Linked DNA regions of Rattus norvegicus. The protein of the gene in region 4 purifies or fractionates together with the protein of the main gene of each other region. This does not show direct contact. Links are inferred from orthologs where the notes say so. Each region holds a gene or a part of one and is shown on either strand. Other genes may lie near its edges.

What was found. The genes of interacting proteins can lie anywhere in the genome.
Region 1: the proteins of Sf3b4 (region 4) and Ilf2 fractionate together in Homo sapiens (co-fractionation; 3 studies listed by BioGRID, with this or other methods). This does not show direct contact. The link is inferred for Rattus norvegicus from reciprocal best matches to the Homo sapiens genes SF3B4 and ILF2.
Region 2: the proteins of Sf3b4 (region 4) and Rbm17 purify together in Homo sapiens (affinity purification with mass spectrometry; 4 studies listed by BioGRID and IntAct, with this or other methods). This does not show direct contact. The link is inferred for Rattus norvegicus from reciprocal best matches to the Homo sapiens genes SF3B4 and RBM17.
Region 3: the proteins of Sf3b4 (region 4) and Snrpb2 purify together in Homo sapiens (affinity purification with mass spectrometry; 4 studies listed by BioGRID and IntAct, with this or other methods). This does not show direct contact. The link is inferred for Rattus norvegicus from reciprocal best matches to the Homo sapiens genes SF3B4 and SNRPB2.

The regions. Positions count from the first base shown.
Region 1 is NC_086020.1:178,255,135-178,260,933, reverse strand, and holds the start of Ilf2 (interleukin enhancer-binding factor 2), read right to left. Parts: upstream 4,008-5,799; 5' UTR 3,902-4,007; coding exon 3,897-3,901; intron 3,119-3,896; coding exon 3,059-3,118; intron 2,721-3,058; coding exon 2,678-2,720; intron 1-2,677. UniProt on the Homo sapiens protein: Chromatin-interacting protein that forms a stable heterodimer with interleukin enhancer-binding factor 3/ILF3 and plays a role in several biological processes including transcription, innate immunity or cell growth.
Region 2 is NC_086035.1:71,845,163-71,850,947, reverse strand, and holds the start of Rbm17 (splicing factor 45), read right to left. Parts: upstream 4,008-5,785; 5' UTR 3,893-4,007; exon of another isoform or gene 3,833-3,892; intron 1,905-3,832; 5' UTR 1,890-1,904; coding exon 1,767-1,889; intron 1-1,766. UniProt on the Homo sapiens protein: Splice factor that binds to the single-stranded 3'AG at the exon/intron border and promotes its utilization in the second catalytic step. Involved in the regulation of alternative splicing and the utilization of cryptic splice sites.
Region 3 is NC_086021.1:150,851,157-150,856,840, reverse strand, and holds the start of Snrpb2 (U2 small nuclear ribonucleoprotein B''), read right to left. Parts: upstream 4,008-5,684; 5' UTR 3,980-4,007; exon of another isoform or gene 3,577-3,979; coding exon of another isoform or gene 3,548-3,576; exon of another isoform or gene 3,455-3,547; intron 2,297-3,454; coding exon of another isoform or gene 2,272-2,296; coding exon 2,208-2,271; intron 1,744-2,207; coding exon 1,571-1,743; intron 1-1,570. UniProt on the Homo sapiens protein: Involved in pre-mRNA splicing as component of the spliceosome. Associated with sn-RNP U2, where it contributes to the binding of stem loop IV of U2 snRNA.
Region 4 is NC_086020.1:186,419,437-186,425,348, reverse strand, and holds the start of Sf3b4 (splicing factor 3B subunit 4), read right to left. Parts: upstream 3,683-5,912; 5' UTR 3,446-3,682; coding exon 3,412-3,445; intron 3,035-3,411; coding exon 2,906-3,034; intron 2,462-2,905; coding exon 1,919-2,461; intron 1,694-1,918; coding exon 1,487-1,693; intron 1-1,486. Other genes in the region: Mtmr11 (myotubularin-related protein 11), read right to left, coding at 4,803-4,949, 5,407-5,700. UniProt on the Homo sapiens protein: Component of the 17S U2 SnRNP complex of the spliceosome, a large ribonucleoprotein complex that removes introns from transcribed pre-mRNAs.

The DNA.
Region 1 (5,799 bases), about 8.2 Mb from region 4:
GACTTTGCAGTTAAAAAGCACTGGCTGTTCTTGGAAGGCCCAGGTTCAGTTGCCAGCAACAGCATGGGTCTCACATCCACCAGTAAGTACAGTTCCAAGGAATCTGACCCCCTCTTCAGCTTTCCACTAGTACTATGCATGTGTGTGGTGCACATACAGACAGACACACACACATAAATCTTTAGAATTAAAAAAATAAAAAACCCAGAAAATTCTACATTTAATTCTATTTTTCCCATCTACTCCATTTTTTTTTTCTTTTCTTTTTTTCGGAGCTGGGGACCAAACCCAGGGCCTTGCGCTTCCTAGGCAAGCGCTCTACCACTGAGCTAAATCCCCAACCCCCCATCCACTCCATTTTAAAGCCAGTACACCTTACAACACTTGTTTTTAAGTCCTTCAGATGTTCAAGTCCAAATACAAACCTTATTTTTCTGCTATTATTATTATTTTTTTTTGAAACAGGTCTTATATAAATTGCAGGCTGACCTGAACTTGCTAGGTAGCTGAGGATGACTGAATCTTATCCTCCTGCCTCTTCTTCTTCTGGACTTGGAATTATAGGTGTGCAGTCCACCCTGACATATGAAATACTCTGGTCTATGCAGGCCAGGCAAGCACTCTACAAGGAAGCTACAACAGCAGCCAGAGTGCTCATCATTTACATTAAAACAGATAAAGGCCGGGTGGTGGTAGCCCTCATCGCTACCTCATTGAGACAGAGGCAAGGCAGATCTCTGTTAGTTCAAGGCCAGCCTGGTCTACAGAGTGAGTTCCAGAACAGGCAAAGGCTACACAAAGAAACCCTGTGTTCTCTTCTCTTCTCTTCTCTTCTCTCTCTCTCTCTCTCTCTCTCTCTCTCTCTCTCTCTCACACACACACACACAGAGAGAGAGAGAGAGAGAGAGAGAGAGAGAGAATGCTCAGCAGTAAGAGTGTTTGCTACTGTTGCAGAGGAACCAGACTGATCCCTAGCACGCCCATGGTAGCTCACAACCTCTGACAAACCTCTTCTATCCTCCAAAGGTACCAAGCATGCAGGTGGTGAACATATAATATATGTATGTATATATGTATGTATGTATGTATATATATATATATATACTGCAAGCACTTTATACATACACAAAAAAATTAAAAAAAAAAAAAATCCAGATGGGGGGTTGGGGATTTAGCTCAGCGGTAGAGCACTTGCCTAGCAAGCGCAAGGCCCTGGGTTCAGTCCCCAGCTCCGAAAAAAAAAAAAAAAGAGCTGCCCCTGATAAAAAAAAAAAAAAAGCCAGATGGCAATGGTGGCACACACTCAGGAGGCAGAGGCAAGTGGGTTTCTGAGTTCCAGGATAGCCAGGGCTACAGAGAAAAGCCCTGTTTAAAAATCCAAACATAAATGAAGAAAGAAAGAAACTAATTATAATCTACCATGTAGTATAATATACACATTGAGCACTCTGGAGGCAGAGGCAGGCAGATCTCTGAGTTCCAGGCCAGCCAAGGTTTTATACACACACACACACATACACACACACACACACACACACACACGCAATGTCTCAAAGTAAATAAATAAGTCCTAAAAATATTTTTTTTTAAAAAAAAGGTATTTTCTAGGGTTGGGGATTTAGCTCAGTGGTAAAGCGCTTGCCCAGCAAGCACAAGGCCCTGGGTTCGGTCCCCAGCTCCGAAAAAAAAGAAAAAAAAAAAAAAGTATTTTCTAGACAAATATTACAATCAAACTGTAAAGAAAGTATCTTCCCTGCCTTGCTTACACTCTTTTCTAAGTTTTGTTCTTATTGAGACGGTTCATTTGTAGCCCAGGCTGGCCCTGAACACTAACAATGGTCCTATTGCTGGGGTTTCCATTGCTGGTATCACAAAAGGACTTCATTCTCTTTAAGACTGGCTGGGCTGGTGAACTGGCTTGTTTTTAATATGTATTTATGTATATGCGAGTGCCACAGTGTGTGTATATGCATCCTGTGTGCAAGAGCCTGTGGAAGTCAACAGAGACGTAAGAGCCTTGGAAATCAGAGTTACAGACAGATGTGCACTATGTACGATGTAAGAACCGGGAAAAACTTGTGTCCTCTGCTAGAGCCATGTTAGACCTGTAGTTATAGCTCTAAGTAGATTGCAATATATAATAAATACAATAATAAAATAAAACCAGTTAATGGGGTATACATGTAGCATGTTCACATCTCTAGCACTCAAACTAAGTAAATAAAAACTTACAGCAGGGGGGCTGGAGAGATGGCTCAGTGGTTAGGAGCACTACTGCTCTTCCAGAGGTGCTGAGCTCAATTCCCAGCAACTACATGGTGGCTCACAACTGTCTGTAATGGGATCTGATGCCCTCTTCTGGTGTGTCTGAAGACGGCTACAGTGTACTTATATATAATAAATAAATAAATCTTAAAAAAAAAAAAAACTTACAGCAGATGAATGCCTGTAATTCTAGCATTCAGGAGGCTGAGGCAGGAAGATGATGAATTTGCAGTCAGCTTGGTATACATAGAGTTCCAGGCCAGCCAATCATACAGAAGACCCACTCTCAAAGAACAGATCCATTCTTGAATCCTACTCCAAACAGTATCTAACGTCATTAACAAGGATTCTGGGCTTCTACACCTGTAAGTGAGCAGTAGCCAGTCAAGTTCTCCAAAGCCAAAATACTCACCAAATAGAAATCAAAGGGGATGTGGGGCACAAAAGGCCTGAACCTGAAACATGAAAACAATCCAAAATTATTCAGGCAGAAAGCAAGCAAGAGAATTCTGTCTTAAGAATTCAGGCATTTCTGGGGTTGGGGATTTAGCTCAGTGGTAGAGCGCTTGCCTAGGAAGCGCAAGGCCCTGGGTTCCGGTCCCCAGCTCCGAAAAAAAAAAGAATTCAGGCATTTCTAAGCTGCATCATTCTTAGCAAAAAGCCAAATTCACTTTGTAGGACATGAGGAAAAGAAATGCTTCGAGTGGTTTTCACAAAATCAAACAGAACAATCTACTCCAAACTCCTATCTACTGAAACAAACCAAGGCAAAGACGTGAACAGCCACACTCACCCTCCTCCAGGACCTCCTCTGGAACCAAAGCGCCCACCACGACCACGTCCTCTGTCACCCCTAAAAGTACATACATTTTACTCTCATGTTGCTGAAAAAGGTTTCCATCACACCATCAATGTTATTTCAATGTGACTTACCCTGACCCCCCTCCAACTACTGAAGTCGACAGATATATCATGCTCACTTCTCCCCGATTCCAAATGATGTCCAGTCCCACTCTCATGACATCCTAATTCTGGACTTTTTTTTCTTCTGTTTTTGAAACGGAATCTCATGTATCTCCTGCATTACCTCCCCCCACCCCAAGACTGCATCCTGAGCCACCACACCCCACTTCTAATTCAGGATTTTATCAAAACTCACATCAGGAAAATACGAGTTTCAGAACCTGACATACATACCCCTACTAAGTAACCCACGATCCTGAGGCACACGGGTCGTAATATTCAGGGTAAGGTGACTTCTCATTTATTAATACAGCATACCAGTTACGAGACATGTCCAATTGGTCAAACACTAGGCACCAGAAAAATGTGCAGCGCTCCAGCCTGCTCACTGCGCACGGAGGGTGATCTTCCTGGTCCGTTAAGACCTCTCCTCCATCCCCCGAGACCCAGGAATCAACACAACTGCCCTGCTGGGGCCCGGCCCCCCTCCAGGCCCGATTCCCCGAGTCGGCCAGCCTCCTCCTACTCCACTCTCTCCGGCCCGGCTTTCCGCCGGCCGCCCAGATACAGGCCCTTCTTCCCCCGACTCCATTTCAGCCTGCTCCCCAACTCCAACCCCCCATCCCTCGAGGCTACGGCAGGAACTTTCAAGCACCCTGTCTACTTACCTCATGGCTCGCTTAATCCTGAACAATGGAGACCACTCAACCGCTCTTCGCTTGGAAGAATCAAGGTAACAGAGAAACGTCGGGTCGGCGTGTCCCAACAAACGCCTGCGCGATAGGCTCCCGCCTCACTCCGTCCCGTGCGTTTATTGGTTAACCCAGCAACCAATGGAAATGCTCTGTAAAGGAGTCAACCAATAAGAAGACATACCAGGGACAGAGGCAATTTCCCCCACTTACAGTAGAGGGCGTTCAGAATTTGAGGCTGTAAGCAGGTAAAGTCTTCTATGGTAATACAAGCATAGCCTACCAGTAGGTAGCAGAGTGGCGCAGCGGAAGCGTGCTGGGCCCATAACCCAGAGGTCGATGGATCGAAACCATCCTCTGCTATCGGAGACTTTGTTTTTCTTTTTACGGGTGAAAATACAATTAAATTTTTCCATAGCAAGAGATGTGGGGTTTTTTTTCCTTCTCCAACTTTTTTTTCCAGACAGCGTCTTGCTTTGTCACCCTAGTTTACATAATACTCGTTAATGTAGCCTGAGCTGTCATCAAACTCTTAGCAATCTCTGCCGTGTGCCGCCTCACTTGAAAACATAACTTTTACCTTACGGAAATATCAGAAATAGTTCCATTTCCCACCATTTTTTCCCTCAATATCATTACTGTTATATGATTCTTTTTTATTGAAAATTGTCATACAATTTTTCTTGATCATGTATTTCTCTTCCCCAGTTCCACCCAGATCCTCCCTCCCCACTTCCCTATGCTAGGTGATTCTGACAAGTATTGATGTATTATTTACTTTTGTAGGCATCTATTCCTTCTAAGTAACCTCATTAAAATAAGGAATACTTTATCAGGTCGGCAAGGTGAGTCGGCAGGTACAATCGCAACTACCTGAGTTCGACCTCTGGAGACTCAGTGATGGAAGGTGAGCCGCGATCTGCATTTTGTCCTCCGACCTCACTATGAATGCCGTGGGTGTGGTGACACCCACAAACACAACATAAATAAATGTAACGGAAAAAAATTTAAAGGATATTTTGGTAAACATGGTGGAGCATGTCTTTAATTCCCGCACCTGGGAGGCAGCGGCAGGAGAATCTCTGTGAGTTCAAGGTCAGACTATTCTAGGTAACCAGTCCATGCCAAGTAAGTCTACATAGGGAGATCCTGCCTCACAAAAACAGTATTTTATCATCTCAGAAAGATAACCATACTGGATTTCTACTATCGTGGGTTAGGTTTGCCTTTAGATTTTCTTTTTATTGGGGCTCGATCAGAGATGACTCAGCAGTTCTTTTTTTCGGAGCTGGGGACCGAACCCAGGGCTTTGCGCTTCGCTTCCTAGGCAAGCGCTCTACCACTGAGCTAAATCCCCAACCCTAAGTTCAGTCAATCTCTAAAGTCCTCTAGGGGATTGTATTCACAAGCACGTATACATATACACACATAACTTAACATAAAATAAATCCTTAAACCGGACCTTGTCGTGCAGGCCTTTAATCCCAGCACTGGGGAGGCAGAGGCAGGCAGATCTCTGAATTCAAGACTGGCCTTGATCTACAGAGAAAGTTCCAGGACAACCAGGGCTGCACAGAGAAACCCTACCTCAAAAAAACAAACAAACAAACAAATTAATAATAATAATAATAATAATAATAACAACAACAACAAAAACAACAGTAGTTTGTTTATTTAGGGACTGGAGAGATGGCCCAGCAGTTAAGAGCACTTGTTATGTTGCTCTTGCAGAGGACCAAGAAGCGTCAATTCCCTTCATCCATACAGTGGCTCACAACTGTCTGTACTCCAGTTCCAGGGGGTGGAATGTAGTTCTCTGACATCCACAGACATCAGGCATTCACATGGTACACAGACATATATGGGAGCAAAACATTTG
Region 2 (5,785 bases), on a different chromosome or scaffold from region 4:
TTCAACACAGGCCTTCCTGGAAACTAGGCAAACACTCCCAACTGAGCTACAGCTTCATTCCCTTTTGCTCTTTTTTAAAAGCAGATTTCCTCTATCTATACAGTTTATAGTAAGTGTGGCCACTTTATGGCTGGCCTTAAACTTACAGACCTACCTGTCTGTCTCCAGAGGGCAAGCCCTATCCTACTTCTTTTAGAATGACTACCCCAACCAGACAACAATTATTCAATCTGTCTGTCTGCCTGTCTATATGTATGTTTGTATGCATGCATACTTGGGTGTGCATGCATGTGTGAGGGCCGGGTCTCTTCTTACACTATAGGGTTCTAGGGATCCAACTTGGGTCATCAGGCGTTGTCACTCACCGAGCCGCCTCACCACCCCTCCCTGTTTCCTAAACGTGCTTTTGATTTCCAAATCTTCAGCACACACCACCTCCATCTTCTTTGTTTTTCTCTGGGACACTGTTATTACAAGTGCTGCTACATATGTCTCCCTAACTTACAGCTCTAAGTTCTAGCAGATCTAAAACCTGTTTAGGTTGAGGTTAAAGGTAGTAGACAAGAATATCGTACAGCAAGCTGGTGAACACCACCAAATCCTCAGGTTGCCAGGATGCCATGGCAGATCATGCGGACGGACTGACGGTGATCACCAAAGTTTAACTTCTCGGTTTTAAAATTTAAAGTGGTACAAACTTTCATTCTTATCAGGAAGTCTGAGCTCTCTGGATTTTAATGGTGCTCTAGGCAAACAGCATATCATCAAGGTATTATATACAAAACCACAATATAAACCCTAACTTTCCATAATGGGCATTATGTCAATCACTTATTTAGTCATTTTAAAATTTAATTTTTCAAAAATGAAATACAAATGAAATCAAACCTTCACCTTTCAGATACAGGTAAATTTTTCCATACCAAGTATTTTTAAAAGTTTGGTTAGTACTCTGAGAAATTCACCAAAGAGCCCAAGAGAAACAATACAATGTAACTTCACTTCCTCATAAGAAATCAACCACACAGATGATAGTCCTCAAAACTCATGTCAGAAGGTTAGCAGATGGTTTAAAGTAATGTTCCATTCTGACTGATTAAAATCTATGTGCAATCTCAAGACAATTGCTAATAGCTGACATTAAAATATCTGCACAGCTGGGTGTGGTGGTACACACCTTTGATCCCAGAGTTTGGGAGGCAGAGGCAGGCACATCTCTGAATTTGAGGCCACCTTGGTCTACACAGACAGCTCAAGGACAAATATTGAGATCTTGTGTCAAAAAGAAACATAGAAACAAAGAAATTTTAAAGACAATGCCATGTCTAACACAGATGAGCAATTCCCACCTATGACTACACATGCTGGGTATGTTCACAAACACCAGAGCCTTTCGTGGTGCACACTGTGGCGCTGATTATCGTGCAAAGCTCAATTCCAAGCTTCCTACAACAAACTAGGGGGACCCAGCCTAGACCAGAAGTGCCAGAGGATATTAGGACCACGGTATGAAAGCATCATCTGAAAACAGTTCAAAGTCAGTCTCCGACATCCTCCGGTCTAAAGCCAGTCTTGCGACTGAGTTTCATTCCTACTCCATGAAACTGTCCTGTTAGTTCCAAGAGCCAAGAGAAGTAAAGTAATCAACTCTCCACCCCTCTCCCCATCCACTATTTTGCATTTATCCAACAAGGGGGCAAGCTTAAACTAAGCTGTTCTCAAGGAGCTCAGTGGACTTTCCCACTCCTGCTTGGGCCTGCTTTTACCTTGGCTTGAGTGAGAGCTGCCTTCTTCACCTGGAGCTGGGACTGCAGAAGCTTGAAGTTTTTGGACCAGCCTTCAGTTTTTGAGTCACTGGTCTCCACTCCCAGGTCATCATATAGGGACATCTTTTTGGTTTAATACTGAAAGACAAGCAAGGGCAGAGACTAAATAATGCAAAACAGAAGCAAGTTATGAACATCTCTGTTAAAATAGCTGTACCACGGTCCCTGCTGTCACAAGTGCAAGGTTCTTTCTAACCTGCAAAACTATTCCTAGGCACTATTTTAAAAACAGTCCTCTAGAGTAAAACCTTCAGTTACAAAATAGATAATGAAGTAAGATGGACAATCTCTGTTTGGGGCATTATTAATGGTTATTAACCAGGTGGTAGAGAGATGGCTCCGTGGTTAAGAGTACTGGTTGCTTTTCCAGAGGTGCTGAGTTCAGTTCCCAACAACTGAACTGTAATGGTGGCTCAGAACCATTTCTGAGTCCCATGAGGGCCAAGATTGTTACAAAAAGAAACCTTGTCTCAAAACAAACAAACAAACAAACAAACCACACAAAAAAATCCCTCACCAGTGTGGCCAGCCACTGGGTTTTAGTAAATTCTGGAGGTAGCCACAATCACAAGTCTACCCCTGTTAGCTTGATCCACAACACAATTTCTATCTTATACTTAGGGCTTAAAAAAAGGATGACATTTTACAGAATCATTTATTCCCCTCCACATGTAACTATCTCCAACAGTTTAAATTTCCCATCCACATTACCAAGATACCATAGGCCACAGCCTATCAAAAGCAGAGCAATTCGTAACTGAAGCCAACGGCAGAGCAGATTTCTGTACTGTTCTGACTTGTAGAATTACCTACTAGAGTGAACTGTTCCCTGTTGGAAGGATATGTGAAAAATTCATGTTGGGGGGAGGGGAGGTTTGTAATAACAAATGGGGGGGGGTGTCAATGAGAACCCATACGGTAGGAGAAAAATGACTCCTGTATTTTCCACATGTGACTTGTCCTAAAACTCCTGATCTGCCTGCACCTTCTAAGCACTGGAGTTCCAGGCATATGCTACCCTGGGCTAGGTTACTTTATTTACTAAACTTTGTTATCTCGAAATGCTTACAGCTTATCCCAGTATAAATGTGCTCACGTGATCTAAAAAAGACACCTGTTGCAGAGAGACAGGCCTCACCTATGCTGAGAACAAGCGGAATCATCTAGAAAACCATACTTTCCACCCTTATATACCCTTACCAATAAGAATTTATGTCAACGGTCCTCCCTTCCTGACTTCTCAATGGATGGTCACCCCTCTAAACCCCTCTTCATCCCTTGTCACCGTCTAAAACTGCAGAATACTCTACAGCGCTCCTCGGCTGTTGCTTCCCCACTCCCTCATTGGTGCAGCCTTTCCCGATCTGCCCTTGTAAGAAAACTCCTCTAAACTGAATAAACATCGGCTCCTCTTCCAGGTCTTTCCAGCTTGTACTCTGGTTCTTCGGATCAATCCAGCCCTGGGTTTTCGAACACGCTTCTTAAGAGATCTAACCCCTGGAGAAGCATTGAGCTTGAAGCACGCAGTCATAGTGCAACTGGTCCAAGTAGAAGAAGCTCAAAAGCTAGCGGAGGGACATGAACTTCCCTTAACACAGACCTGAGCATGCCGGGGGTTACAACTGTCTCTCTCTAGCCAGGTGAGACAACGTCCTCTACCCTCACTTAAGGTGCTCTGGAGGAAACAAGTTTGGGGGTTTGTTTTTGTTTTTGGCCTCTCCGTTCATGAGGCCCGAGGCACCTTGGGTTACTGGGGTCTAGCGACTCAACACCTTGGTCTGGACATGGGCCATGAAGAGGAGAAAGGAACGTTCTTCCTGTCAAGAGGACCGCGACAGGTGGAGGGGAGATCTAGGCGGCCCAGGGGAGCATGGCAGGCTGAAGGAGCCTACCGTGGAGGGCTGGGAACCCCCGGGTAGCTCGGGGTGCCGCGCCCGCATCCCCGCGCCCCTTACGGCGCGGCCTAGAGCCGCGGCCTCGCGTCCAGCGCATCCGTGAAGGCGCGCTCACCCGAGTCTCCGTTCCAGATCGGAACCGCCTGCCAGGGCCGCCGCGGCGCCACTCACCCGGCCTTCCGAGACGACTGTGCCCATGGGCCACGGCGGCGGCAGCGCCGAGCCCGGCCGCCCTGCGCGGAAGCCCGCCCACCGCCGGAGCCCGCCGCAGCACCGAGCCTCCACCGAGTCCGCAAAGTGATGCACCGCGCGGGGTAGGAGAGCGGGGGCTGCCGGGAGTACACGTCTGCGCCTGCGTGCGACTCGCGGAAGCAAAGCTGCACTGCCCAGGTCGCACTGCACCCTGCTGACCGGAGGACTACACTGCATCCCGTCTCTGCCGGCCAAGAGATGGCGCCGTTGGCACAAGGTTTCGAGATTCATGTGCCTTCAGACCTTGAGTTCAGGAGCCAAGAGAATCCCTTCCTAAGCTCTAGTTATTCATTCTCAACCACTCTTTTATATACTAAACGGTGGAAATACAACTCTGAAGGCGAGATATTGCAGAATAGCATTGAAGCTGGGTCTTCAGAGAAAGAATGTAAACACTATAGAAAAACCAGGGCTCTGTGTAAACGTGTTTTTTTCCCATGGGTAAATTTTATTTCAACCTATAACTGGGTGGTCGTGACCTACGCCTTTAGTCTCGCACTCGGGAGGCAGAGGCAGACAGACTGGTCTCTAAGTTCGAAGACAGGCTGGTGTCTACACAGTGAGTTCCAGAGCAGCCAGGACTACACAGAAACCCTATTTTGAAAAATAACAACAACCACAAAGAAAAAGAAGGAGAAGGAGGAGAAGGAGAAGGAGAAGGAGAAGAAGAAAAGAAAGAAAGAAAGAAAGAAAGAAAGAAAGAAAGAAAGAAAGGAAGAAAGATCAAGCTAATAAAACTGTATTAGTCAGGGTTTTCAATAATCAGAGAGTTTATGGAATATCTCTATGTATTAAATGAATTTATTGCAATGACAGACAGTCTGTAGTCAACTAACCAAACAACGGGCAGCTGTGAATGGGAAATCCAAGAGTCTAGTAGTTGCTCAGTCCCACAAGGTAGGTCGTTTAAGCCGCTCTTCTCTATAAGCTGCAATCTGAAGAAGGAGGTCCCAACAGAGGTACTGGCAAGTAAGTGCAAGCAGGCAAAGAAGAAGAAGACTGAGTCTTCCTTCTTCCATTGTCTTATGTCCTCAAGCTCTACACCTGGATCTAAAACTTGCTTTGTCCCAGACTGGCCTTGAACTCAGGACTGCTTGCCTCAGTCTCCTGGGATTAAAGGCATGTACTATCTTGCCTGGGCCTAAGCTTTTCATAGACACTGTCTCATGATCTCCATGCCAAGATCCAAGTCAGAAGCCTGTGTCTTCCAGTCTCAAGATCCAGATCACAGGTGTGTCCTCCATTTCTGGGTTGTGGTTCATTCCAGATGTAGTCAAGTTGACAACCTGGAACAGCCATCACAGAAACTGTGGAGGATTAGGTGAATCCTGGCACGAGTGAACACGCCAACATTATAATCTGATTTATAAGAATGCATTTAAGTAATTCTGAAAGTCTGAAAATGCAAGACTGGGGAAATGCACCTGTTTATGGCAGATAAACACAAAGAAATCAAATAGCAACAATGTGTGCGGGTTGATTTCTGGACAAAAGTTTAAAATGACATTTTATAACACAGTCCCGATTGCAGGAAAAAAAAATAAGAGGGGGCTGGAGAGATGGCTCAGTGGTTTAGAGCACTGACTGCTCTTCCAGAGGTCCTGAGTTCAAATCCCAGCAACCACATGGTGGCTCACAACCATCTGTAATGGGATCTGATGCCCTCTTCTGGTGTGCATGAAGACAGCTACAGTGTACTTAATGTAATAAATAAAATAAATTAAAAAAAAATAAGAGAAGTCTATGCATCAAATAACACAATCTTATTATTCATAGTAAACACTATAAGGAATAATAAATAGGGAAGAGGAA
Region 3 (5,684 bases), on a different chromosome or scaffold from region 4:
AGCGTCGCATTCACCCTGCCCAGATGCTGGAGATCTGGCAGCTCCTGCTAACCTCCCTCAAGGCAGACAGAGAACAGAAAACAGTTGCCACTTCAACTTAGCCAAAGTGTCTAAAGATGTCTTATGCTCTAAGCACATGAGATCTAGACTGCTAATTCTTCATATTGAGTAGTATTAGCTGATTTCAGGAATTTCACCTTACTGAAACCAGGAAAGAGTGTGATACAGCACAAGGGCTCCGCTGTAGTGTGCCAGCTCACAGTATGGGGTTGGCTGGAGCACCCCCACTCCCATTCTCTGTGTATTTACTGTTTTTCCTGATTTTCTTGCTATCTAAGAGAAGGGCTACCACAGAAGAGCATCTGGCTAGTGAGGCCTGCAATCTTACTGCCTGACCGTATTAAAAATATGTTCCCTCCTAGCATACAGAAAAGCACAACCTTAGATGTTTTAATAAGATTGGTGTCCAAGTGCTGATGCACTGGCTATAGGAATGCACCCTAAATGGACAAGATTAGCCTCATGCCCTATCTTTCTCCATGACATACAAGGGCTAGACAGAAGGCCAAATCCAGATTATGACCAGTTTTTGTGCAGCCTGCGAGTTAATAATTTTTAACACATTTTTAAAAGGTTAAAAACACACAAACAAAACAATAAGTATCAGAAACTTTATGTGGTCAGCAAAGCTTGAAGTGTCTATTCTAGTCCTTTGGATCCCCAATTTAATCCAAAGATTCAATTTGCTCATATTGTAGGGTGGTGAGTGTGAACAGAAGGACAGAATCTGCCAATGGCAAAACCAGAATGAGGATTCAGATCCTCTAAACCACAGGCCTTGGCTCTCCAAGGCCTCATTACACAATTTTCCAATCCTAGCAGAAAGGCAGTATGAATCCATACTCAAGATACAATGTATGTACTCACACTTAAGACATGTGTTCAACTCATTTCCAATCCTCTGTCACTGAGTCTTACACCCAGGGACCTCATGCCCTCTGGACCAGCCTTTCCACTTGATTCTTTGAGACGAAGCCTTATATACCCTGGGATCTCCTTGAACTTCTGATCCTCCTGCCTCTCCTCCCAAGAGCTGAGAATACGCGCATGTAACACCATGACTACCTTAATTTCTCATTTTTTAAAAGAATTTTACTTGTATTGTTACCTTATTTTTCAATGATATAAATCATAATATATTTTAGCTTTGCTCATTTTAACTAGAATAAATTAACAGTTAATTCAGCTGTAGTAGTGTGTATTTATAACAATATTCATATAAACCTTGTGTGGTGGTGCACTCCTATCATCCCAGCACTTGGGGAGTAGAGTCTAAAGGATTAAGCCCTGGCAATATAACAAGTTAAAGGCTAGCCTAGGGTACCAGAGACCCTTTCTCAAAACAAATAAAATAGCTACAAAATATCCCTAAAATCTCTAAACAAACAAACAAACAAACAAAATCAAACACACAGAAAGCAATAACTTAGTATTAACTCTTCACTTAAAAAAAAAAAAATCTATTGACCGGTCAATAATGACTACAGTAGAAATAATAGGATCAGCTCACCATTGGTTTACCATAAAATGGAAATCCTTGTAACTGTCTCAAAGCATTTGTGGATGAGCCCAGTTCCTTAAATATAACAAAAGCCTGCCCTCTCATCTTCATGGTCTTTAAAGCCACAATATCTACCACATGTCCAAACTGAGAAAACAGGGCATACAGGGATCTCTTCAATTCTGTACAAACAAGAAAGAAAACATTTTGTGAAGGAAACAAGAATTAAGTTCTTCATAAAATAACAATACAATGAGCACCCTTACCATTCATTTATTTATACTGACTTAGCAAAAACACACTACTCCCATTGGCTACCCAATTAAAAGTTATTTGAAGCCGGTTGGGGATTTAGCTCAGTGGTAGAGCGCTTGGGTTCAAGGCGGTCCCCAGCTCCAAAAAAAAAAAAAAAAAAAAAAAAAAAAAGAAAAGAAAAGAAAAGTTATTTGAAGCCACTTGTGAATTAAAACATTCAAAACACACAATCCCTGCAAATTCTTATATTAAAAATTCTTAAAAGTGTGTAAAAATGGGATAAACCATTGTTGAACACCAAGATGACTAAAGGAGACACTGAGACCATTCCTAAGACACAAGTGAATAACCGCATGTTAGTTGTGAAAAAGCGGTTTTTAAAAGAACATACCTTCTTTTTTAATTTTGTCATTCATGTTGTTGATATAAATCGTGTGATTTGGTCTGATATCCATGTTTGGGTAAAACTCTTCAAGTAGCCTAAAAGAAATAATAAATAACCTATTATTAGCAAGGAGGGTTAAATCATGCAGGTTATGGCATAGCCAAAACCAACAACTATTAGCCGATCCATTATTTTTCCACCACTGACATCAGAAAACGTCAGCTGAAGTAGACAGTAATTCCTCCCTAACTTCATAACCATCTCTTTTAGACAAATGGAAAATAGCTCCCAAGATCAAAGCCTGGTAGAACAATACCAAGATTCTACAAATTGGTAGAATCTGTCAGCACATAGGCAGAGTTAGAAACATTATTCAGGTTATTCTTTCTTAAGCCCCACTTAAATGATATTGCCCTTTCATCTACAGAATGAAGTAACTTTTTAAAGTATACTTACTAATTCTTTGAGAATGTCATACGATGTATTTTGATCATATTCACCAGAAAAGTTTTTCAGTAAAATGAGTTGAACATTTTATAAAAGATCAGTAAACACACACGTAGTTTAAAAAAATTGTAATAAAACAATACAAATTAAAACACAGTTCATGGATTCACTCACGAATGTATTTATTGAAACGTTTAGTGTGTGTGTGTGTGTGTGTGTGTGTGTGTGTGTGTGTGTGTGTGTATGTATGTGTTTACTAGTGCCATCGTGTATGGTGAGGTCAGAGAACAACCTTTCAGGGGCTTTCACTTCTGTCTCTTCAGGGGCTTTCACTTCTGTCTCTTCGTCCACTATGTGAGTCACAAGAGCCAAACTCAAAGTGGGCAAGGTCAAGTAGCAAAAATCAAGAAGGCCTGCCAAGCCATCTCGACAGCCCTCAAATCTATTTATGTGTGTGTAGATAGACAGACAGACAGACAGATAGGTAACTCAATGGACAGTTTAGAAAGATAATTCAGAACTCATATTCTTGTACCAATAATATACAGATTCAAGTTCTGTCTATGCTTTTACAACCTGCTTCGAGGTGGGGCAAGTTCCTTAATGTCTCAAGTCCTCAGTTACAAATTATGGATACTAACTGCGCCTATAAAATGAAGCCCATAAGATTATGAGACAGACATCTAGCAGTCTGCGTCAGTAAGCACCTAAAGTTACTATTTATTATCGATGGCTATTACACGTTAAAGGACGCAAGTGTCCAATGTCATACAACAAGCTGTTCTGAACATCAGAGTGTTACTTACAGGAAGGGCCTGCACTATGTAGGTAACGGATAAGTAACGTTTATCAAAGGTTTGCCTCCCAAATGGGAACCTGGAGAAGGGCTGGTGTCTCACCTGAGGGACAAGAACAAAGGCTCTGGCATTAGCTCCTGCGGGCACCTGAAACCCAAAAGGCTGCCGGCGGTCGGAGGGAGACTGAGAGTGCACAAAGAACTGTACACCCTGCCCCGCCTCCAAGCAAGCAACGTGCTATTTTCTCTCCTTGGGCTAATTTCTATGTCAGCTCGAGCCTCTTTAAACACCTGCTGATCTGCCCAACACTAGGGTCCTCGGACATTAAAAATCCAACCATCCCGCAGAGAACAGGATACGACGCCGGGCCTTAACCCGCCAGCCCTAGGGTCGCCGTCCCTTCCTTCCATGCGTCCGCGGAGCCCGGAACCGCGCAACCAACGACACCTTCGCTCTGGCTGGCTCAGTCCGGACGGGACAGATCCCACCAAAGGCCGAGACCAGCCACAGCAAGGAAGACCCCGGCAAACCCACCTGAAGCCGGCGCGGTCCGCTTGAAGCTAAAGCCGGAAGAGGCTCCCAGCGCCGGAAGAGGACCGCCACACTCCTCAATCGAACTCAGATAAGTCGAAGAGCCGAGCACCGATTCAATCGAGATCTCCTCGCCAGGGTCGCCAGCGGCAGAATCTTTCTGCGCATGCGCATTCCCGTAGCCTGGAGGTTATAGTGGAAAGGGGAAGAACTGGGTGGGATCAACTTAGGATACAGCGGTCAAGGAGTGAAGGCAGAGAAGGGAAGGGTAGGGCATCGTTTCCATTACTGAAACTTTGAAGTTTCCCAACTTTATGATGTGAAAAATTTTACAGGAGCGTGTCTCCAGCGGCAACTTAGTCAAGCCTTTCTATGGGTTCTGCCCAACTTGGCTTAATACCAGCTGTAGAATTGCCATTGTCACTCCCTGAAGTCAATCAATGGGAGTCTGAAAGAACACTCCAGCACTCTACAGATTGCACCTTAGATGCAGCCCAGTCTTCGACCCTAGAGCAAAGAGATTCGTGAGTCTTTGCTGGTACTCTCACCAGATTTCAGGAGAAAGCAAACTAAGGATCACATGCCTAAACTCATTTAGAAACGGTTAACTCCCGCCCTCTCTCCCACCTTATCCTCACAAAATGCCTGGATTTTTCTAGGCTAAAAATTGGGTCAGGGACCAAATCAGTTGATTTTATCAGCTTGAGTGTTCTAATATTTGAAAGCCACATGAAGTTGCAGGACGGAAATAGTGTTTTTAGAGTAGTCATTTTTATCCCCTTTGCTCACTGAATTAGGAGAATGACTTACACTCAATAAATGGATGAATGAATGAATGAATGAAGTTTCGTGAAAATTAGGCCATACTAAATCAAATGTGATAGCCAATGAAAATCCTGTAAATGTGGGTAGGAAATAATGTTAAACAACCACAGAAAAGTGTCCTTTAATTGTGTAGATAAAGAAACCAGTCTGGTTTTTGTAAATATTGAATATTGAGTGTGTTTTTACCAAAAGAACATCAAGTAAATATAAAATAATTTCTAAGCAACGAGAAGATCTGAGCAGTTGATTGCTGGTGCTTCATTACAAGGAGAGCGCTGAAATAAGATATAACCTGCCTGTGTGACATAAACTGATCTGGCCGAGAGGTCATAGCTATTTTTAAAAAGAAAATTTATAAACATGCAAGGACATTCCACCTGGGAAGAAAATAGAGATTTAAAGAAACTCCACACCTTTTCTATCAAAGCTTGAATCATGGCTACTATACCTTTTACACAGCAAGGAAGAAATTGTCCAATGACAACTCAGTGTCAGTGGTTTCTGTGCTGTTTTCCAGGTTCATGTATAAAGAATGAACACATTTTTGTATCCATGAGTAGTCACTGCAAGCTTTCCTCAATGGTTTTGTGAATGTCGGAGAAAGCAAGAATTGAAATAGGGTCTGGCAAGGAATGAAGGGGAAGGGGCTTTCCTGGTTGTTGCAGGATATTTGAGCACACTGTAAACCCAGAGACTGTGTTGTTTACTGGGGGGAAAAAGCTGTTTCTAGTTTGGTGTACCTCAGCTTTAGCACATACACACACAGCTTTAATCCTTCTGGCTGGAATATAGACATGCCTTGAGTACACACTTTAATCCCAAACAATGAAGTAACATTAGTTGGAAGAAAGAATCACCCATTTGGAAGTGATGTCTAATTGAG
Region 4 (5,912 bases):
ATCTTTGTCTGAAGGTGACTGACAGCAGTGGCTAAAGTAGTCATGCTGCTAATATACCTCCAAGTTTATTTAGCACATCAGAAATGTGCTCTCATTTTCTTTCTCTGACTTAAGCTTAGAAGTGATGACAGCCAAGTATAAGACAAGCAGAACTTGGCTCTGTGTGTGATAGGACTTGGTGGCAGATAGATGCTGGGACAAAGGCCTAATTCTAAGGCCAGTAATAACTCCTTAGGAAGATCAGGCCTGATAGCGCACACCGTATTGCCCAGCATGCTAATGGTAAAGGCAGAAGGATCAGTAGGAACGGAGTACCTAGCAAAGTTGAGACCAGTTTGGGGTACATGAGACTGGTTAAAAAAAAAAAATTAAATTATGAGAAAAGAAAAGAAAATTTTAGTCTACCTTGGTAGTGCACACTTTTAATTCCAGCATTTAGGGAGGCAGAAGCATGTGGATCTATGTGACTTTAAGCTAGTTTGGTCTACAGAGAGTTGGAGGTCCACCAGGACTACACTGTAAACCCCACCCATCCAAAAGAGGAGTCCTTAAGAAGACAAGAGAGTAGGTGTCAAGAGAAGGTTTGACATGTGCAAACACCAAACACTGAACATGATAAAGCCCGAAAGCTCAGCCACCAGGAGGACCTGAACACTGGGCAGGGACAGTGAGCCCAGGTAGAATTTTAAGGACATGTCTACGAATACCTTGGAAAACTTACTCAGTGAAAGTAGATCAGATACAGAGACCTGAGTCACAGTGGCAGGAAGATTCCTACAGGAAGTGATGTGCAGTGCAGTCTAGAGCACTGGCTTGTGGCAAACAACAAAAACATAAGCTAGACTTGCTATGTAAAGTGGAAGACTGAACAGACAAACCCCCAGAGTTGTGGACTGGGCTCCTACAAGTGAGAGCCATTGAAGATGGTGTTGGAAAGAGAAAAGTAAACTGTGGGTTGAGCAGCAGCCTTTTCTAGTCTACCAAGAACCTCAGAACAGAGACCCAGAATAAATCATAACCTTCACATTTAACACTACAGATAAACACAGAAAAGAGAACCAAGCACGAAATCTACACATACATAAAAAAGGAATTGATCCAGGTTGCTAAAGTTGACATTAGAAAATCTAAAAATACATATGCCTTTAATCCCAGCACTTGGGAGGCAGAGGCAGGAGGATCCCTGAGTTTAAGGGTAACCTGGTCTACAGGGGGAGTTCCAGAACAGCAAGGTTTACACAGAGAAACCCTGTCTCGAAAAACCAAAAGCAGAAATGTCTTCTAGATTTGGCAACCTTGGAAGCAGAGGAGAGGTTGAGAGCTTTTGCCAAGCACAAGCTATAGGTGGAGATAACACAGGAGCACACCAACATGTACAAAGTATTGTTTGTTTTCTGAAGAAAAGGACTCTGGACTATTTCCACCCAAGACAAAGAGCACTGGGAGAAGCAGTACAAAGGCCCCTCTACAAGCTCAGCGCACTTACCTGGATGGGGCATCCCACCTGGTGGGAATGGATGAGGATGTGAATGTCCATGACCAGGATGTCCAGCCCCTGGAGTTCCTGCTGCTGGGGGACCATGTCCTCCAGCCCCAGGTGGCATAGGTGGTGGGGGCATTGCTGGGGGTATCCCAGGAGGAAGGGCCCCAGGAGGTGGCACTGGAGGTGGGAACGAACCAGGAGGTGGCATTCCTGTTTAAGAAATGAAGGACAATTAGTGGTATCGGACAGAATGTCTTTCCCAGCATGCTACACTCCAGCTTCCTAAGGACATGCACCAACTTCTTCCCTCCCACCAGCATCCTCACTCCTCCCTCACTGCCCACTGACTTCACAGCTTACTCTTCCAGGGCTTCCTCTGCCCCCTGACCTCCCTCCCATGGGCCTCACTGGCATAGTCTGAACTACAAGCTGTACCTGGTGGAGGAAGCCCAGAACCCAGGGATGAAACCACAGGATTGGGGGCAGAGGGTGGAGGGGGTGCATCGGCAAACAGCTGATGAGGGCGGTCAGCCTGAGACAGCGGGTTCTGGGCTGCCAGAAGTCGTTCAGCTGCTGAGCCATGTCGTTCACCCTTAGAGTCCTTCTTGAAGGCATAAGACACAGTGATAGGGCGGTTACACAGGTACTGCCCATTCATGGCCTCAATTGCTGCATCTGAAGCATCAAATGAAGCAAAATTAATGAAGGCGTAACCCTTGGAGTTGCCTGTGTCAGGGTCCCGCATAATCTTGGGGGTCTGTAAGATGACTCCAAAGGCGCTAAAAGTATCGTAAAGCAACTTCTCATCAATTTCTGGGTCCAGATTTCCAATGAAAATGTTGGCTCCTACATCCAGGTTTTTGTTGTGAGCCGAGGCTTTGTTCACCCGTATTGGCTTCCCATAGAGTTTGATCATGTTCATAATCTTAATGGCATAGTCAGCATCTTCCTCACTCAAGAATTCAACAAAGCCATAGCCTAGGAAACCAATGAAAAAAGACCACTCAGGTGAAGAGATTCAAAATCAAACATTAACTCACCAGTTTGCAAACACAAAGAACAAAGCAGGTAAGGGCTGGGTGGGGGCTCATGCTTCTAATGCCACCATGCTGGAGCAGAGGTGGAGCCCTGAGTTTGAGGCCAGCCTGGTCTACAGAGCATGTTCCAGGACAGCCAAGGACTACACAGAGAACCACTGTCTTGAAAATAAAACAATAAAAAGAACATGACAGAAGAATAATCTTACTTCACTTGAGAATGGTTCCAGTAACTAGTGCTAAGAGAAACTATTCCAAAAACTGAACTGAAGCTTAAGGGGGAAAAGAACCTTTAGGTTGCTCATTCCAAAGTAGTTGTGACTGGAGTTGTGACTCTTCAGGGGCCGTTAACGCTATACAGGGTTAATTCTCGACATGTACTCACCTTGGTGCTGGCCAGTGACTCTATCCTTTGGCATGTGGGTGTTGACCACTGGCCCTGCCTGGAGAAAGAGCTCCCATAGCAGTGGCTCGCTCACTTTCTCGTCTAGACCTCCCACGTACACCGTGGCATCTAAAGGGAAGAAGCAGGAGGTAAGGAGAGGGTCAAGAGTGAAAAGTAAAATAAAAACCAAAAACGTTAACTAAAGACCCGAAATTCCCTCAGCTTCCACAGTCTAGAAAAATCCGCTACGTCTAATTTGGCATTCTTGCTGATCCTGTATTTCCGGAGAATTTTGTCTTCTTGGTAGAGGAGTATTTAAAGAGAATGGATCTAGAAGCATCACTCTTCATAGGCCTGGGCCTCCACTTGGCCTCGAGGCGAGCCAGGCGCCCAGAGGTCGGTCTCACATCAGAGGGATCTCGTCTCCCACCCAAGCAGAAATGCTTCTGGCATTAATCAGCTCTTCACTTCCCTGCCCCTATCTTGGTCTCTTTTCTCCCAATTACCCTGATTCCGTTCGGAGATCGGTCCGGCAGCCATGGCGAAAGGGCTCCCGCCGTCTCTAAGCAGCAGCACCGCCCCCCTGACCTCAGTTTCTACTTCCACTTCCGGGCCAAGGCTCACATTGGGCGGGGCCGGCGACAAGGGAGGAGCCGGAAGCGATCGCGGCCATCTTAGGAGTCAGATTCGTGTCGGACAGAAGGGAAAGGTGCTCTGGAGCTGCCGCAGCAATCGGGGTGGAACAGAAGTGAATCAGCCGGTCTTGATACAGTTAACTAAAGCCCTGAATGCTTCCAGACTGTTAGGGCATCACACTGCACCCCAAGCGCAAATTGAAATGCTAAACCAAGCTTTGTATGTTCTGTGACGCAGAGACGTGTGCTAGGCAAAGTCCCGCCATATCCAGGGCCAGGACTGCCTTTGAAAACAGCCTATTTTTAATTCGGTCCACAACGCTCGTGCAGATTCGCCCTCGGCCTAGGCTTGAGCTCGAGGTATTTTGGTTTCCCGTAAGTGTCAGAGCTCCTCCAATCTTGGGAAATTTGAGACCGAGGGTGCTCACAGGCAGGTATTGAAGCTTTAAGAGGCAGGTGTGGATCTCTGAGCTAAAGGCTAGCCAGGTCTACAGAACGAGATCCAGGACAGCCATGGCCTCACAGAAAAATCTGTCTCGGAAAAAAAAAAAAAAAAATTCCAGGCTAGCCTGATATACAGAGAGACCTTGTCTCAAAAAAGGTGTGTGTGCGTATGTGTGTGTGGGGCGGGGGGGCTTTCCCAATATTTCATGTGCATTCTGCCCAGCCCTGCCAATCCTTTATTTCCTTACAATAATAAGTGTCCTTTTCTCAGTTCACACTACCCCACAACCACCACCGCTTTGCTGAGATCTTCATTCAATACAAGAAAATACCAGCAATGTGTAGAAATACTGTGCTTTAATGAACTCCTTAAATAGAAATGCTGCTACAAAAATATACAGTGGGAGGAGGAGGTGTCTCCCTTATTCACCTCATTCCCACAGAAGACTAAGAAAAGATTTCAATGTAGTGTTGAGGGGTTGAGAATGAGGTCTCTAGGACACCTTGCTGGGGCTGATGAAAAGGGTCTCTGATATCATACTTTTGACAACCATCCAAATGGCACAGAATTGCCTCGAAAAAAGGCAATCATTCTGAATTGGTTTTGTTTCTTATTTTTCAAATCACAAGAAACAAAAATAGCTCCAGGAACCAAACGAGACAGGAGAGCTGGAGGTTGGTAGCACCATCTACAGAAACTGGCCTACTAAGTGAGCTTTACAGACTGGAATACCAAACCCGAAGCACCAAGGTCAGACATAAACATCAGCAGAAACAAACCCCCGCCCTCTGCCCTGCCTTTGAGATGGCTAGCAGTTTCAGCAGATCTGAGAAAGGATAGTATTTGGATCTCTTTTCTTGCTGTGGTCCTCCGGAGATATTCTTGGTGTCCATTTTCTTAATAGTTCCTGAAGATGAGACAGCTCATCTTGAAGGCCAGAGATTGTGAGAGCTGAAGAGCCTATCTGGGGAGAGGCAAAGGAAGGTGCAAAGAGAGATTGTCACAGGTCTAGTTCCTTTTTCTTTTTTCTTTTTCTTTTTTTCTCAGGTTTGTCTGTTTTTATTTTCAAGACTGGGGTTTCTCTGTGTAGCCCTGGCTATCCTAGAACTAACTCTGTAGACCAGGCTGGTCTCAAACTCAGAGACCCAGTTGCTCCTGCCTCTTGAGAGCTAGGATTAAAGGTGTGTCCCACAACTCCCTGGCTAGTTTTCTAGTAAGATCCTTGGTACTTTAAAGTCTTAAATGTTCTTTCCCCTTCTAATAGTGCTCTAGATTCTACGTGCTCCAAAGTCACAGGCAGTTCCCACCGCCTGCCATCCCAAGTGGACCCGATTTGATAAATGGAATACTACTCCCCAATTACTCCAGCCCTTTGCCTTCTCAGCTCTTTCTCCCCCATCCAATCTGTCTTCCCTTCTCACCTGGACCTCCGGCCTTCCCCTCAGGTAACAGCGTTTCCAGAACCTGATCTGTGGTCCCAAATATCCAGGCAGCAGTAGCCCAGGAGGTAAAGGGCAGGCTCCCCAATGTGAGGGGAGCCCCCATTCCTGGTCAGCTAGGCTTTCAGAGGATCTAGCCGGTCGAGGGAGCCAATGAGAAGAGACTGTCAGCAAGGAAGTGCTGTCTTGCCAAGGACAGAGCTGATTCAGGGGGGTCAGGGCCCCTCTGGAGAACAGCCACATAGAACTGGGGGATCCAGGAACCATGAGGCTTGGCTAAAAAAGAAGAAGCCAACAGACAACTAGAGAACAACCTCTCTCTGAAGTGGGAAGGGGTACCTGGCTGCTGGACTCACTGTGCCAGTGCCAGACTGCAGCCCTCTCGTCTGACCTCCCTGCTCATCAGGCTTTCGAGAGTTGGGCCCATTAGGTTGATTTTAGAGAAACATGACATATGGACATGAACCAAGAAGACAAACAGATGAAGA